4 linked regions of the Oryctolagus cuniculus genome follow. The protein of the gene in region 3 interacts with the protein of the main gene of each other region in a pairwise test. Links are inferred from orthologs where the notes say so. Each region holds a gene or a part of one and is shown on either strand. Other genes may lie near its edges.

The links.
Region 1: the proteins of ARRDC1 (region 3) and WWP2 interact in binary tests that used the Homo sapiens proteins (3 or more experiments, as listed by UniProt). The link is inferred for Oryctolagus cuniculus from reciprocal best matches to the Homo sapiens genes ARRDC1 and WWP2.
Region 2: the proteins of ARRDC1 (region 3) and WWP1 interact in binary tests that used the Homo sapiens proteins (3 or more experiments, as listed by UniProt). The link is inferred for Oryctolagus cuniculus from reciprocal best matches to the Homo sapiens genes ARRDC1 and WWP1.
Region 4: the proteins of ARRDC1 (region 3) and ITCH interact in binary tests that used the Homo sapiens proteins (3 or more experiments, as listed by UniProt). The link is inferred for Oryctolagus cuniculus from reciprocal best matches to the Homo sapiens genes ARRDC1 and ITCH.

Annotation. Positions count from the first base shown.
Region 1 is NC_091449.1:53,024,610-53,028,465, forward strand, and holds part of WWP2 (NEDD4-like E3 ubiquitin-protein ligase WWP2), read left to right. Parts: intron 1-1,753; coding exon 1,754-1,835; intron 1,836-2,363; coding exon 2,364-2,492; intron 2,493-2,868; coding exon 2,869-2,944; intron 2,945-3,178; coding exon 3,179-3,250; intron 3,251-3,393; coding exon 3,394-3,482; intron 3,483-3,856. UniProt on the Homo sapiens protein: E3 ubiquitin-protein ligase which accepts ubiquitin from an E2 ubiquitin-conjugating enzyme in the form of a thioester and then directly transfers the ubiquitin to targeted substrates.
Region 2 is NC_091437.1:111,703,309-111,707,164, forward strand, and holds part of WWP1 (NEDD4-like E3 ubiquitin-protein ligase WWP1), read left to right. Parts: intron 1-1,071; coding exon 1,072-1,402; intron 1,403-3,856. UniProt on the Homo sapiens protein: E3 ubiquitin-protein ligase which accepts ubiquitin from an E2 ubiquitin-conjugating enzyme in the form of a thioester and then directly transfers the ubiquitin to targeted substrates.
Region 3 is NC_091432.1:237,733,584-237,738,234, reverse strand, and holds the start of ARRDC1 (arrestin domain-containing protein 1), read right to left. Parts: upstream 2,819-4,651; 5' UTR 2,743-2,818; coding exon 2,625-2,742; intron 1-2,624. UniProt on the Homo sapiens protein: Functions as an adapter recruiting ubiquitin-protein ligases to their specific substrates. Through an ubiquitination-dependent mechanism plays for instance a role in the incorporation of SLC11A2 into extracellular vesicles.
Region 4 is NC_091442.1:23,652,921-23,656,776, reverse strand, and holds part of ITCH (E3 ubiquitin-protein ligase Itchy homolog), read left to right. Parts: intron 1-1,055; coding exon 1,056-1,213; intron 1,214-3,422; coding exon 3,423-3,618; intron 3,619-3,856. UniProt on the Homo sapiens protein: Acts as an Acts as an E3 ubiquitin-protein ligase which accepts ubiquitin from an E2 ubiquitin-conjugating enzyme in the form of a thioester and then directly transfers the ubiquitin to targeted substrates.

The sequences.
Region 1 (3,856 bases), on a different chromosome or scaffold from region 3:
CAAGAGCCCGTAGGTACCTTGGAGATTAGTAGTAAGTCAGATGTAAAAGGGTAAACACTTGGGATCGCTACCTAAACCAGCCATGGGGAAAGCGTGCCGGGTTAAACAAGAATCCGTTATGCCATTTGGTAGTCGGTGACCTAAAACTGGGGGACTGGAGTTTGTTTCTGATTCTGTAGAAGCAGGTAGTGTAGCCCGGTCAAGTGAGTTTATTTCGGTGCCAGTTCTGAACGATGGTCACCAAGTGAGAGCCACTAAAGAGTCTGGAAAACAACTCCCAGATGCTCAGAGGGAAAATATTTGAGATGAGAATAGGGAAGCCATAAGCCGAATCACTGCTGTTTGCCAGCGATCGGAAAAGACCCATAAGACTGTACTGGTGCACAGCCGGGAAACAGAACTCTTTGCCCAAAGGCCGGGGGCTTTCCTCTGTGTTGCTTCCCCAGGGCTGTGGGGGAGGCCGCCTCCCCAGGGATGGGAAAGGACGAGCAGGAAGGGCAGCGGGGCCAAAGGAGCCGGCACTGGTGGCGAGCATGCTGTCGGTCTGCCGGCGTTCCTCCGGCACTCAGCTCCTGGGACCCATGGTTGTCCCAGGCACTGCCGTGGGAGCTGGGATGCCTCAGGTTTAGATCCGTCTGCTGCTGCTCGCTCGTGGCTAAATCCGCCCCGGCCCGCCTGCTCCTGAAAGTGAGGTTGAGCTCGGCACTCTCTGGAGACTGCCCCAGCTCCCGCAGGCAGCTCTGTGGGCCAGGAGAGGTGTCATGGCAGCATTTGTGCAGTGCCAGGAAAACGGCCCAGGGCTTGGACAGCCGGGCCAGACCCCCGCTAGGCTCCACTCAGTCCTCAGCAGAGCGGCCCTAGGGCGTACAGTTCGGAGCAGGGGCTCCCGGGCGGGCAGGACCCTCTCGGGCAGCTTCCCCTGCAGGTCAGTTGCACGCCGCCTCGGCAGCTCTGCCGCAGCTCCCTGCACCTCCTGTGCTTCCTTGCCTGTTTTTATTTTTATGTTACTTGTTTTTCCAGCTTTATTAGAGTGTGATTGATAAATAGTGCTTGTGCTTGGGACATTCTAGTTGAGTAGGAGAGAGCAGATAAGGCAAAGAGGGATCAGCCCTTGGCTTGGCGCTGGGACCATTGCAGCCCGATTCTTGAGTGGGGGCTGCTGGTCCCCCGCGTGTGCCCCTTAGCTTCTGGGGAGGGAGGATTGTCCGACTTCTTCCCTCGCGTTTCACTGTGAAAGGGGCAGAACCATCCACATCCCTTGTTTTCAGGATGGAAACAGATTTGAAACCCAGGACTTTCCTGGAAAGGTGACCACCTTTGGGTCTGGGGCCTTGGCCCCTCGTTTTCTCTCCCACTTGCCTGGAGTGGATGGATTACCCGCCTGCGCCAGCCTCGGGGTGGGGCAGGGCCTGGGGCTGAGGGCGTCCCTGCTGCCACAGCTGGATGCAATTATGCCTGGATTCAGCCGGCTGCCCCCTCTGTGTCGCCACACCGCCCCCCTTCCTCTGACAAAGCAAACAACCAGAGAGGTGCGGGATTCTTCCCCTTGCAGTGTGTGTGTCCGTGCCCCTGCCCCAACCCCAACCAGGGAAGGACCATTCTGTGCTGTCTCCCAGTGGCCGGGTCCGCTTCTCCAGCAGGCTGGTGTCGGACAGGAAAGCAGACGCAGCACCCAGGAGCCGGGGCTGCGGGATGGCCCCAGCTCAAGCTGCTGGATTTTAATTGTTCCCTCTCTTTTCTTCTCCCATGGCAGAGAAGAGACAGGACAATGGCCGGGTGTATTACGTGAACCATAATACACGCACGACCCAGTGGGAAGACCCTCGGACCCAGGGGTAAGGGTTTTGGGAGTGAAGGGGGCTGGGCTGGGCCTGTGTGCAGCTCCAGCATTGGCCAAGTGGCCTTGGACCACTTTGTCCTGCAGGGCTCCTGCTGGGGACCTTTAGCCACACACATCTCCCCATCTAGTGTCAGCCTCTGAGAGCTTGGAAGTGGTCCCTGAAGTAGACCTTTCCGCTGGCGGTTGTCGCTGGTCTGTATGCCGCTGGTACTGGCTGCTGAGAACTTGATCACAAAGAGGTTGTGGGTACGTCCATCCAGCACTGCCAACGTGCAGGGCCTGGGCACTCAGCCACCGCCGTCCACCCGGGGCTGGATTTTTGGCCTTGGGATAGAAGATGGCTTCTTTACACCCATGACTTGGATCATGCCAAGTGCATATCCTAAATCCCCCTTGTACCCCCAAGGGCTGTGTAGCACTGGGTGAAAGCAGAGACAAAGCAGCACTTGGGAGACCCCGGCCTCCTGTGCACTGGGGCCCGGAATGCGGGGCCTGGCCTTCACCCCGTCCCTCCTGTTTGCAGGATGATCCAGGAGCCGGCACTGCCGCCGGGCTGGGAGATGAAGTATACCAGCGAGGGCGTGCGGTACTTCGTGGACCACAACACCCGCACCACCACCTTTAAGGATCCTCGGCCAGGGTTTGAGTCGGGGTAAGGATGTCAGGACGCCCAGCAGTGTCCCGTCAACGCGGGCTCCGGGAGGCCCACTGCTGGACGGAGTGGGGACCCCTAGACGTGCTCTGCTGCTTACTGCCCCCTAGCGGCCAGTGCTGATGGCAAGCTGAAGGCCGCGGGCAGCAAGGGCTCTCCCCGCCTTTGGCTGCCTGGTGTTTGTCAGAGCAGGACTCTGTCGTCGTTTCTGGATTCTGTTTTTTGGCTTTTCAGAGGCCTCACTGGCAGTCCCTTCTCTCCTATTCCTTACTCCTCGCCTTTAAGTTAACACGGCATCAGCTTTGCTGGGCTAATGGAGACAGGTCGCTCAGTTCCCGAGAGCTCACCTGGCTTCCGGAACACCTTTCCTTTCCAGGACGAAGCAAGGCTCCCCTGGTGCCTACGACCGAAGCTTCCGGTGGAAGTATCACCAGTTCCGCTTCCTCTGCCACGTGAGTTGTGCTCCCGGGACTCCCGCGGCAGGTGGGGGCATCGAGTCACTTCAGCCTCCTTCCCCAGCCCAGCGTGGGCACAGGACTGCGCGTGTGCCACCACAGCTGGTTGTCCCCACGGGGCCAGGCTCTCACGTGACAGCCTCGGGGCCGGGCCGCCTACCCTGGCAGGTGCGCACCAGGTAGGCCGGTCACCCGGAGGCCTCAGTGTGCGGCGTTCTCTTCTCTTCCCAGTCCAATGCCCTGCCCAGCCACGTGAAGATCAGCGTCTCCAGGCAGACCCTTTTTGAGGATTCTTTCCAGCAGGTTAGAGAATCAGCCCGGTGCCCAGGTTATGACCATGAGCCTGGGGGCCGTGTCTGTGGAGGGGGCGGGCCTGAGATCCCTCCTACCCCTTCCTGCCGTGGAAGGGTGAGTGGCAGGCGGGCCACGATGCTCTGTCTCCCCAGATCATGAACATGAAGCCCTACGACCTGCGCCGCCGGCTCTACATCATCATGCGTGGCGAGGAGGGCCTGGACTACGGAGGCATCGCCAGGTGAGCTCAGGCGTCGCCGCCGCCCCGGCTGCCAGCCCGCGGCTTCCCTCGTTCAGATTCATTGCCACGGTGGGTGTGGGGTGACAAACATCTAATCCCCAAGGCTGGTCCAGATGGGCGCTGGGTGAAGCTGGGTCCTGGAGTCCCTGCTGGGCCGGGTGTTAACACTTTGCATATCGGGTCCTGAGGAGGCTGGGGGGCTCAGGGCAGGGGCTCAGGGCAGGGGCTCTCTTAGGAACCAGTGTGACCTTGCTTCTATACGTTACCCATCAGCGCAGCAGTGTCAGTGGGCAGTGGCTGAGCCCTGGGGCCATGGCACTGTCACCCTCTGACCCCAGGCTTCACTTCCTCCTGAGGCACCAGGGCAGGTGCTG
Region 2 (3,856 bases), on a different chromosome or scaffold from region 3:
TTTGGAACATACCATTTACTTTCTTGAATAGTACGGTAGTCTTGCTACAGTTTAATTATTTTTATTTCTTTGAAAATTTACCTGGAGATTTCATTAGTCTATGTCTTCCTCTGCTATTTTCATTGGAACTTTGATGGTACTTTCCTTTTTTTTTTTTTTTTAAGATTTTTTTTATTTGAAAGGCAGAGCTAGAGACAGGCAGAGGCAGAGAGAGGTGGGTAGGTCTTCCATCTGCTGGTTTACTCCCCAGATGGCTGCAATGGTCAGAGCTGTGCCGATCTGAAGCCAGGAGCCAGGAGCTTCTTCCTGGAAGAAGCAGGAGCCCAAAGACTTGAGCCATCTTCTACTGCTTTCTCATGCCATAGCAGAGAACTGGATCAGAAGTAGGGCAGCCAGGACTCAAGCCGGCACCCATAAGGGATGCCAGCACTGCAGGCCGCAGCTTTACCCACTACCCCACAGCTCTGGCCCCTTGATGGTACTTTTCTAATAGGTTTTGTTCAATGATCTCTTCTTGCAATTTTATTTTTACTTACTTTCATAGTAACACATAGTTGAAGTCAATTAATCTCATTGAAATATGAAGTAAGAAAACTATATCACTAGGTCTTAGTGCTAAATTATTTCTTTAGAAAGTATAGAATGGATTCCTGAATCTTTTTATGGTTCTCTATAGTACTATCATAATTAAAGCCATCATATATTTTTCATTATTGGCAAAAGTGTTGGTACTAGCTTACCACTTGCATATGAGACAGAAGATTGTAAGGGATCATTTTACAGTTTTTATATAGTGCATGCAGGCTTTCTCTCAGAACTGATCATTTGGAGGGAAAGCACTTGTTATTGTAATGGTGGTTTCTCTTTCCTTAAGGTATAGTATGTAAACGTAAAATTTTATCATTTATATATTACATGTGAACAATGAAAATATAACCTTGATCTTATGTTTTCATTACCTGGTACGTACGTTGTTCAGTTTGGATTAGACTCTGAATAAATGTATTGATTGATTAGGAAATTGGTTGCCTTGCTATTACTTGACAGATTATCTTAACTTTCCCTTCTCAGTTAATGGAGAATCATCCTCATCTGCGCCAACTGACCATGCTTCTGCCATTGGCACTCCAGTAGTACCTGAAGAAACCACCTTGTCTTCAGACTGCACTAGCACTACTGTTGAAGACCCTCTCGTTCAAGAGATACCCACTTCCTCAGAAAACAATGAATGTATACCTTCTACCAGTGCACAGTTGGGATCTGAAGCTAGAAGCATACTAGATGCTGATCATTCTAATTCTGCAAGTAGTTCTGCTTTTGACAAATTAAGGCAGCCAGAGGGGTGTGCGGAATCTGTACGGCAACAGTCTGGAAATGCCAACACAGAAACTTTGCCATCAGGGTATGTTAAGGATGTTTTTGGTTGTTTGACTTGCCTTTATGTAGCAACTTTTTGACAATATATAACTATTGAATATGTATGTAAAATGTTTTCATTGTTGAGAAACTTGAAGTCTGGCTTTTAATTTGATTTGCAGTATTAGTTTATTAGCTACAAGGCACATACTTTTTGAAACTATGGATTGTTGCTCGTCTAGTTGAACTGTGACTAGTATGAAGGGGAAAAAACCTGATTTTGATTTGCAAGATTCTATCAGTTTGATTTTAGGTTTACTTTGGTAAGGGTGAGTGTGACATCTCATATAATAATGTCAATTTTCTAGCTTCCTTTATGGTCTACTCTCCAGACCTCACACTTGAGAATAAGTAGCTGTCATCTTCCTCAGTATTATAGTACTGAATCCTTGAGAAAGTCACATATCCTTGCCGACTAGGTCTATTAACAAACTTAATTTTTCTTTGCTGTCTGGTAATCTTATAGACTGTTCATGGGGCCGGTGCTGTGGCATAGCAGGTAAAGCCTGCAGTGCCAGCATCCCATATGGGCACAGGTTCGAGTCCTGGCTGCTCCACTTCCGAGGCAGCTCTCTGCTAAGTCCTGGGAAAGCAGTGGAGGATGGCCCAAGTCTTTGGGCCGCTGTTCCTGCATGGGAGACCCAGAGGAAGCTCCTGGCTCCTGGCTTTGGATCAGCACAGTTCCAGCCATTGAGGCCATCTGGGGAGTGAACCAGCAGAAGGAAGACCTCTCTCTCTCTTCTCTCTCTCTGTGTCTGTGTATGTGTGCGTGTGTAACTCTTTCAAATAAGTAAATAAATCTTTTTTTAAAAAGTTGATTGATTTTTTTTTTAAGATTTTTTTTTTTTATTTGAAAGAGTTACACAGAGAGGGAAGGAAAGGCAGAGAGAGAGGTCTTCCATCCACTGGTTCACTCCCCAGGTGGCCCCAACAGCTGGAATCAGGTGCTATAAAAAAAAGAATGCTAAAAGAACTGGAAAATCTTTTGAAATTTAATACAGTACAAAACTTGGCTGGTAGAAGCAAATAATTTGCTAGAAAGTAGAGCAAAATGATAAAATTATAAAGTAGAAGTGATGTAAAAAGCTGAGAGACCAGTTCTGAACATTTAATAAGAAAATTTCTAGGGGTTAGCATTGTGGTATAGTGGATAAAGCTGCTGCCTATGACTCTGGCATCCCATGTAGGCACTGGTTGATGTCCTGGGTGCTCTACTTCTGAGGGCAGCTCCATGGTAGTACACCTGGAAAACTCTAAATAGAGAATGACTGAAGTATTTGGACCCCTTGCCATCCATTGTGGGAGACCTGGAAAAAGTTCTTGGCTCCTGGTTCTGACTTCAGCCTGGCCCTACTCTGGCTGTTGCAGCCATTTGAGGAGTGAACAAGTGGATGAAGATTCTCTCTTTCTCTCTCTCTCTCTCTCTCTCTCTCTCTCTCTCTCTCTCATCTATCTTTCTGTCTCTTTTTGTGCTTCTTTTTCTGTAACTCTACTTTTCAAATAAATAAAATCTTTTTTAAAATAAAGGCAAAAAATTGTTCACAAACATAAGGAATTTTATTGAAAGGCTCACCAAAATTCTAGGTACTAAGTGAAAATAGACTTATTTTTAAGAAAATTTATTTTGAAAATATTAGTATATTCTGACCAAAGAAAAAGTCTTTAAAATTCTAGAGACTAAAAGAAAAAAGAAAGTAGGCTTCACTCTAATCAGACTGGCATCAGACTTGTCAGAATCAACAGTAGAAACTAGAATACAGTGGGCCAGTGCCTTCAATGCTGAGGGAAAATGTATCCAGCCTAAAGTTTACCTAGCCATGCTGTTGAATGTGTGCATAGAAAAAATACATTTTCATACATCCTGGATTTCCAAAAATTCACTTACCATGTCATCTTTCTTAGGAAGGGATTCCTGTTACTTCAAAAATAGACAGTCAAATGGAAGATGTGGGATCAAGAACACACAGGATTGCTAGGAGAGGCAAGAAAGGAATTGGAGCATGATGGGAAAGGCAAGTCCCAGACAGCGATAGGCTTCACACCCAGTCTAGACTGGACGATGATCAGAAGGCAGGTGTAGTTGGATGGACATCCTAAAGAGCTTGAGCATTTCAAAAGGACATTTTTATGATGGAAAAGTATTTCTGGTTAAGTTAATGACAGATATGTAAAAAAAATAAGCAGAGGGGTGAGAGACACAATTGCTCTAGCTCAGGGTTTTTAATTTTTTTTTTTTTAGAAGTCATGTCCCAAGACTCAATTGTCAGGAAGGTTTATATAGAGACAGCAACAACTATAAGGAAAGATACAACATGTGTATATTTGGAACAGCTGGAATGAGGGTGTTTTATTAGAGTATGTAAACGTGCAGGAACAAGACTTGCAGCTCCATCTTTCATAGTGAGAAGTCAGTGCAACATATTTGAAATTAAATAATCAT
Region 3 (4,651 bases):
ACCACGGCTGACAGCAGTCAAAAAGCCCACCACCCCGCTTGCACCCAGCCCCAGGATTTGGTCAAGGGAGCCCAGGGGCACCTGACCAGAAAAGCAGCCAGCACCTGGCCAGCAGACCCTCAGTCAGGCCCAAGGGGCCCAGGCTCTGTGACCCTCCCAACACCCTACAGAGGACCCACTGGAGCAAGCAGCCCCTGGCCACTGTGCAAAGGGAGCCCACCCCAGGTGACCCACCCACTCCTCAGCAGGTGGGTCACCATGGGGGCACAGGGCATACCGACAGCACACCTCAGCAGCACCCGGGAGCCAGGCAGAATTCCCAAGAGCCAGTTTTTACTGGTCCAGGCCAACAACAACCAGGCTCTGCCTTCTCAAACCATGGGCTCTGGCAGGGTCACAGGATGTACTTATGCCCAAAGGAGAGCGAGGGAGGTGCCCCCGGGCAGAGAACAGGGGTCTCTCCCTCATGCTCTCCCACCTCGCAGATTGCTCCGTGATGGCGGCACAGACCGGAGAGAAGTGACCAAGCGACTTTGGTGGTCACTTCACCAAGACCTCAACTTCCTCCACCAGAGCTGCTTTTTGGGAGTCACCGTGTCAGGTGTTGGCTCCCGGGGCAGGCTTGGTGCTCACACCAGCGCACGCCCGGCTGTGTTCTGCCCGCACAGGTGTCAGGCTGCAGAGCCAAGCCCGTGGACCCAGCCCATGCCGTGCACAACCGACAGGCATCGGTTGTTGGGGGCTTGGGGCTGCTCTGCTTCTCCAGACAAAACCCTGATGGGGGTTGTGTCCCACAGTGCTTCTAGGACTCTCCTCACACACCAGTGCTTCCTGTTGTCTAGCAGCCTTATCCCTCGCACCTCCCACATTCGTCATCCAGGTCCCTAAGGCCAGGCACCGGTGCCACTCTGCCGGCTCCCACAAGCCAGGGGCAGCCCCGCCTGGCAGCTCCCACCCTGTGGGGGCAGCCCTGTCTGAGCATACTGTGGCCCCCGGGGCTGCCTCCTCTGTGTCCCACCTTCAGACCTGTTCCAGGACAGCAGTGACAGTGCCCACCTCCCAGGGTGCCCTGGGGCATTGACGGAGCTGGTGCTGGGAGAGCGCGTCGGGCCCATGACAGCTCCGAGGCTGCTGTCCTCAGTGTTGCCCCAGCCAGCGCAGCCCTGCCTGACCCCAGCCCTGGGCTGGAGAGGACCTAGGCTGTCTCCATAACTCAGGGCAGCCAGTGTCCCTGTGGCTAGATACCAACCATCCCTACTGCTCAGGGACATGCACCTGTGAGAGACAGGGAGCCCAGGGCAGGCTTGCCGCTTCACTGGCTACTAGCAGAGCCCAACAACAATCTCTTGAATGAGAAAAAAAGCACCAAGGTACTTCCTCTCTGTCCCAGGCAGGGCTGGAGAAAGTCCGTGTGCATTCATCAACACTCACACCCCAAGCCACCGGCACCCCCTGCCCCAAGGCCCTCCTGCTCCCAGACCATGAACCCACCCTGCCTCCCCCACTCAGAACCAGGGCCATCTCAGGACCACCCGCTGGGGCTGCTTCACCACTCCCACCTGCCAGGCAGAGGCCAGTCAGGCACAGCTCAGGTGACAACAGATGAGCCAGGTAGCCAGCTCTGCGGCATCCCTGGCCATGTGGACGGGGCCTGGGTCTCTCCCACCCCTGCTTGGGTCCCAGGGGAGTGCACCCCATCTCTGCCGTGTGCCCTGTCATAGCCACACCTACGACCACCCCAACTCCCAAGTGGGGACACAGGGGTCATCACCAAGAGGCCTAGCAAGGCTGGGGCCTGGGGTCGGGGGTCCTGAAAGGGGCCATCAGCTCTCCACCTTCAACAGGCACCAGAGGTGGGGTGGTCACGCCCCAAAGAGGAGTTGCGGTCTTGGCCAAGCAGACCAGGGGGACTGAAGCCAAGGTGGAGAGACACTGTCCCACCCACACACCCGGCCAGGGCCCAGGCCTGCCCAACATGCCCTGGAGGTCCAAAACACCAAGTCCCACCTCTGTGCCAGCCCTGTCCACCACAGGCAGCCACACCTCCACAGGCAGATGACGGCCTGAGCCTGCCATGGCGGCGCAGCAACCTGATCGCTTGCTGTCTGCATCACCGGCGCAGGCTCGGCTCCCAGGTGCTCACTGGGCAGGGCAAGAGATGGCCAGGAAGCCTTAGGCAGGGAGCAAGCAGCTGTCCCCAGGGGGACCTGCACCTTCCCACGGGCCAGGAGCCCGGGGCGGGGGCTGGAAAGGGGCCCGGCGCAAATCAGGTTCAGATGAGCGCCCGGCAGGTGCGCGCACGGAGAAGCCTGGACACCTGGCCAGGAAAGGTCGGAGGCCTCCGTGTGTCCACAGTCAGCGTGGCCTCAGCAGGGTGGACAGGCGCTAGGCCCCCCGCCGCGGGCTCGGCCCGCCCTAGGCGGCGAGGGCAGGAAGAGGCAGATGCGGAAGGACTCGGCCGCCCCGCCGCGCTGGGTCTACAGCCCCCCTCGGCTTACCGGCCGCTGGAGGGTCCAGGTGCCCCGCCCCGCAGCCCAGGCCCTGCGCCCCGCGGGACCCCGCCGCCTCTCCGCCCGACCCCCTCCCGCCGCAGGTGCGGCCCTCCCCGGGGAGCCCGCGCCCACCTCGGAAGGGCAGCGGCGCCGCCAGGCGCACCCGCACGGTCCCGGTCAGCGGTTCCCCCGGGCCGTAGACGGCTCGGCCGTGGCTCAGGCAGATCTCGAAGAGCTGCACCCGCCCCATGCCGCGGCCCCGCGCGCCGCTCACTGACGCCCGCAGCCCGGGCCCGCAGACCCGCCCGGCCCCGGCCCTGGCCCGCCCCCGGCCCGCCCCTTCCCCCCATCCGCACCCCCCACCCCGCCCCGGCCCCCCGGGGACCGAGGCGCGGGCGCCCCCTGCTGCCCCGGGGGGCCGGGGCGGCTCACCTGCCAGGCCGGGCGGGGCCGTAGGCCGGGCCGGGGAGCGCCCCCTCCCCAGCTCTCTGCACCGGAAGGGACCTCGGCTGGGAACGCCTTCCCCCACACCCACCCCCGGCGCTCAGATGTGGGCGGGCTCCGCCCTGTCTGGGGTCCCCCACCCGGCTCCACCACACGGAAGGACGTCACGAGGGGCCCCGCACCGCCCCGGGTCCCGGGGTGCGGCTGTCTGGGCGGAGGCCGGGCCAGAGATGCGGGCGGGCAGGCCGGGAGCGAAGTCTCCGTCTCCAGATGCCCTTACAGGTCCCTTAGTGGAGAGGCCCAAGCGCAGACCCGAAGCCTCTTTCGCGGTCCCGCAGTGCCCGGGACCCCTCGGGCGGCCAGCGAGGTCAGTGTCTCCGGCTCGCTCCCCACCAGGCTGTTTTCCACTCAGTCCGCGCTGTGCCGAGGTGCACCTGCCGGCGAGTACTGGCCCCAGAGACGTCTCAGTGCCGGAACCCTTGGTGAAGGGAGCGGCATTTGTTTGTTTACTTGAAAGGCAGTGACAGAGACAACTTCCATCCAGTCCACTCCCCAGATGCCTACAGCTGCCCGGGCTGGGCCAGGCTGAAGCCAGGAGTCTGGACCGCATCTGGGTCTCCCTTGTGGGCGGCAGGGCCAAAGCGCCTGGGCCATCTGCTGCTGCTTCCCAGGCGCATTAGCCCGAAGCTGGATTGGAGGTGGAGGTGGGACTCCGGTCCCAAGCACTCTGATAGATACGGAATGCAGGCATTCCAAGCAGAGGCCTAACCCCGGCTGCAGAAGACTAGCCCCAGTCCACAGGGACTCGAGGGACCAGGGACTGCCTTGCTGGGGTTTGCAGATGGTCACAGGAGTTGGGGCTCGGTGACCACCAAGGTCAGCAGGTGAAACAGAAATCTAATCAGGTGCTCTCCAGCCAAAGGTGGAGACCTCGGGCTGGGGACAGGAGGGCTCCAGGGAGTTCTGGGGACCAGCAGGACACTGCTGCAAGAGGTGCACCCCTGGTACCCCTGGCTCCCCTGGCACCCTCAGGTCTCTCACGTCCCAGGAGGGAGGGCCTAAGTGACCTGCTCGAGACAATTTGCTGCCAAGACTGTGGTCAGGGACCCCTGAGTGGGCAGTCCCATAATGCCCAGCGTCTGAGTGGGAGGGAAGGGCATTGGGCACAATGGTTATGCTGCCACTTGGGACTCCCGCATCCCCTACTGGAGCGCGTGGATCAAGTCCCAGCTACTCCACTTCCTGCTAATGCATCCCAGGAGACAGCAGATGATGGTGCAAGAACTTGGGCCTCCCGGCGCCGCGGCTCACTAGGCTAATCCTCCACCTAGTGGAGCCGGCACACCGGGTTCTAGTCCCGGTCGGGGCGCTGGATTCTGTCCCGGTTGCCCCTCTTCCAGGCCAGCTCTCTGCTGTGGTCCGGGAGTGCAGTGGAGGATGGCCCAGGTGCTTGGGCCCTGCACCCCATGGGAGACCAGGAGAAGCACCTGGCTCCTGGCTTCAGATCAGCGCAGCACGCCAGCCGTGGTGGCCATTGGAGGGTGAACCAATGGCAAAAGGAAGACCTTTCTCTCTCTTTCTCTCTCTCACTATCCACTCTGCCTGTCAAAAAAAAAAAAAAAAAAAAAAAAAAAAAAGCACTTGGGCCTTGCCACTCATGTGGGAGACCCAGATGGAGTTTGGGCTCCTGGCTTCAGCCTGCCCCAGCCCTGACA
Region 4 (3,856 bases), on a different chromosome or scaffold from region 3:
CCAATGGCAAAGGAAGACCTTTCTCTGTCTCTCTCTCTCACTGTCCACTCTGCCTGTCAAAAAAAAAAAAAAAAGTTAGATTTATTTTGTTGAGGCTTATTCTGAAGGTGCAGGTTGAGAAGCCTTTGCTGAGGCGTCTCTAAACTGGCAGTGCATACTGTTTCTGATCCATGAGCAGATCCCTTTGGGAGAAGTGGTAACAGCAGTGGTAGCTCGTAGTCTGACATTCCTGTTACTGTCCTTCCATCCTTTCTCTCCAGTTGATATCATACCTTGGAAGGGATGACATCTGTTTAAAACAGTCTGTGGGGGCGGAAGCTTCTCCTTCTCATATCAGAATGCCTGGGTTTGAGTCCATGGGTTGAAGTCCCAGCTTTGTTCCTGATTCCAGCTTTGTGATGTATACCCTGGGAGGCAGCAGATGATTGCTTAAATAGTAGGGTTCCTGCCCCCAGCGTGCCCAAGTTGTGGGCACTTGGGGAGTAAACTACAGCATTGAAGATCTTTCTCTGTCTTTGTCTCTGTCTCTGCTTAATAAATAAATAAAAATTTTAGAAGATTTGTGGCACATCTACAGTTGACCACCAACTTTTTAAACACTTTGTATACCATTGAACTGGAGTGTTAAGAGGTGCACAATCCCTAAGAAATAAGTATATGTCTTTATTCTAGCCAGCCATGCCTCAAATGTGAAATAACATTAATAGCTAGTGGAAACCAAGGAAGCAATGATGGACTAGTTATCTGTTCTTAAAATAAAGTAGCACCCTTTGTAATACATTGGGATTTTGAGAACTCGACTTTGTTCCTCTTAAGACATTTTTTAGAATCTGAATCAGCACACCTAGTTGTTCTGAATGGTTCCAAGTGTTTCTGTACCCACAAATAACTCTTCTATGTCTGGTTGTATTAGACTTTACCCAGTGGAACTTTGTTTCATGAGACTGTTCTGAAATTAGGAATGTTTTCTCACACTTGTAAAACTTTCAGTTTTGCTCTTCCTGCTGACTATTTTCTTAAATTCAAAAGGCATTTATTTTCTCCTTCTTATCCAGAGTGAATACAAATGGATCAGATGACCCTGAGGATACAGGGTCCAGTGAAAATAGGAGGGTCAGTGGGAATAATTCTCCATCACTCTCAAATGGCGGTTTTAAGCCTTCTAGGCCACCAAGACCTTCCCGACCACCTCCACCCACCCCACGTAGACCAGGTTTGTATTCCAGCTTTCAGTATATGTTGTATATAATGTTCTATTTGGGAATTGATTCCCAGATACATTTCAGAAGTTCTTTCTAGGTCAGTTTTCTAGCTGTATTTTTACATTTTAAGATTTTGTCCGTGAATGATCTTTTCTGTAGGTAACCAAGAACAACCTTTTCCCTAAATTTTTCTTCCCAGAGTGAAGTTGCTGAGGAAGAAAAATCACGTGTACGTTCTATAAAGTATAGACTGTATAGATAAGAATGTAATTTTTTTTGCATGGTTGTAAATATGTAACGTAAGCATGACATACAGCAGAGAATTTGGTTCCTTATTCCCATTAATATCCTTTTAAAAGACAATCATGGCCGGCGCCGCGGCTCACTAGGCTAATCCTCCGCCTTGTGGCGCCGGCACCCCGGGTTCTAGTCCCGAACGGGGTGCCGGATTCTGTCCCGGTTGCCCCTCTTCCAGGCCAGCTCTCTGCTCTGGCCAGGGAGTGCAGTAGAGGATGGCCCAAGTGCTTGGGCCCTGCACCCCATGGGAGACCAGGATAAGTACCTGGCTCCTGCCATCAGATCAGCGCAGTGCGCCGGCTGCAGTGCGCTGGCTGCGGCGGCCATTGGAGGGTGAACCAGTGGCAAAGGAAGACCTTTCTCTCTGTCTCTCTCTCTCACTGTCCACTCTGCCTATCAAAAAAAAAAAAAAAAAAAAACAATCATTACATGGCAGATAATTCAGCAGTGTTAAATGATAATCAGATTTTAAAGCAAAACTTATACAGTAAGTATGTTTCATGTAATAACAGTTTAGACACTTACATATAGAATATCCATTTTTCTCATTAACCCAAATATTTAATCTTATTATTTCCCTTACCAATGCATGACCAGAAAAATGCAGAGTAATTAAATGAAATATTGTTACAAAAGTTAATTGCCCTCAAATCATTTTATTAAATGATTTAATGGTTAATCATATGCCTTCTCCTTATGTAGATAATTGTATTAACTGTGTATTCCTGCTCTTTAAGATTTGGAATACTGATGACTTCCTTTAGAAATTGTTTTGTCAGCAAACACATTGAAAGACATTGCGCCAGCACCTCGGCTCAATAGGCCAATCCTCCGCCAAGCGGCGCCGGCACACCGGGTTCTAGTCCCTGTCAGGGCGCCGGATTCTGTCCCGGTTGCCCCTCTTCCAGGCCAGCTCTCTGCTGTGGCCAGGGAGTGCAGTGGAGGATGGCCCAAGTGCTTGGGCCCTGCACCCCATGGGAGACCAGGAGAAGCACCTGGCTCCTGCCTTCGGATCAGTGCGGTGCGCCAGCCGCGGTGGCCATTGGAGGGTGAACCAACAGCAAAGGAAGACCTTTGTCTCTGTCTCTCTCACTGTCCACTCTGCCTGTAAAAAAAATAAAAAAAAGTTAAAAAAAAAAAGACATTGCAAATATAGCAAGTGCTTAATAATTATTTATATTAACATTATTGCATATCAGTCAGATCTTTCATATAGTAACATCAAAAATTAGTCTCTGATCTGCAGAATTTCATACGAAAGGTATTTTTAAGGACATAGAAAATTACAAGTAAACTTAAAATACCATGGAATATGGTATTTTAATTTTAATATTTTTCCATTACTAAAAGTTTTTATTTCTTGTGACATCAAGACACCAGAGAATCTGTGCTTTGTAATTAATAATGAAGCACAGGGTAAATGGTACCTAAGATATTGAGAACAAATCTATTAAGTGGAAACTTTTTCACTTCCCTACTTTTTTTTTTTTTTTTTTTTTTTGACAGGCATAGTGGACAGTGAGAGAGAGAGACAGAAATGTCTTCCTTTGCCGTTGGTTCCCCCTCCAATGGCCGCCGCAGCCAGCGCGCTGCAGCCGGCGCATCATGCTGATCTGATGGCAGGAACCAGGTACTTATCCTGGTCTCCCATGGGGTGCAGGGCCCAAGCACTTGGGCCATCCTCCACTGCACTCCCTGGCCACAGCAGAGAGCTGGCCTGGAAGAGGGGCAACCGGAAAAGAATCCGGCGCCCCGTCCGGGACTAGAACCTGGTGTGCCGGCGCCGCAAGGTGGAGGATTAGGCTAGTGAGCTGTGGCGCCGGCCCTTCCCTACCTTTTTATTGTTTTGAAGATAAAATTCTATAATTAATTTAGATTTTGGAAAATAAAAGAGTGTTCCTACTTTCCCCAAATCTTGTATAGCATCTGTCAATGGTTCTCCACCTGCTACTTCTGAAAGTGATGGATCAAGTACAAGCTCTCTGCCACCCACAAATACAAATATAAATACAAGTACATCTGAAGGAGCAACATCTGGATTAATAATTCCTCTTACCATATCTGGAGGCTCAGGCCCTAGGCCATTAAATACTGTAACTCAAGCTCCCCTACCACCTGGGTAAGTAACATTTTTTTGGTGAATATTTGTTTTGTTCAGGTTTCTACATGTAGTCATTAATAAGGAAAACAATATTAAAATAATTTAATTATTTCAATGACAGTCTTCATCTATTATAATTGACTTTGAGGAGTCTAGAGTGAAAAAAAGCACATTTGAATTCTCTCCCTTTTGTTTCTAGGGTAAAATCAAATAGTAGGTATATTTAAATTATTTGTTTTTATTATTATTTATTTAA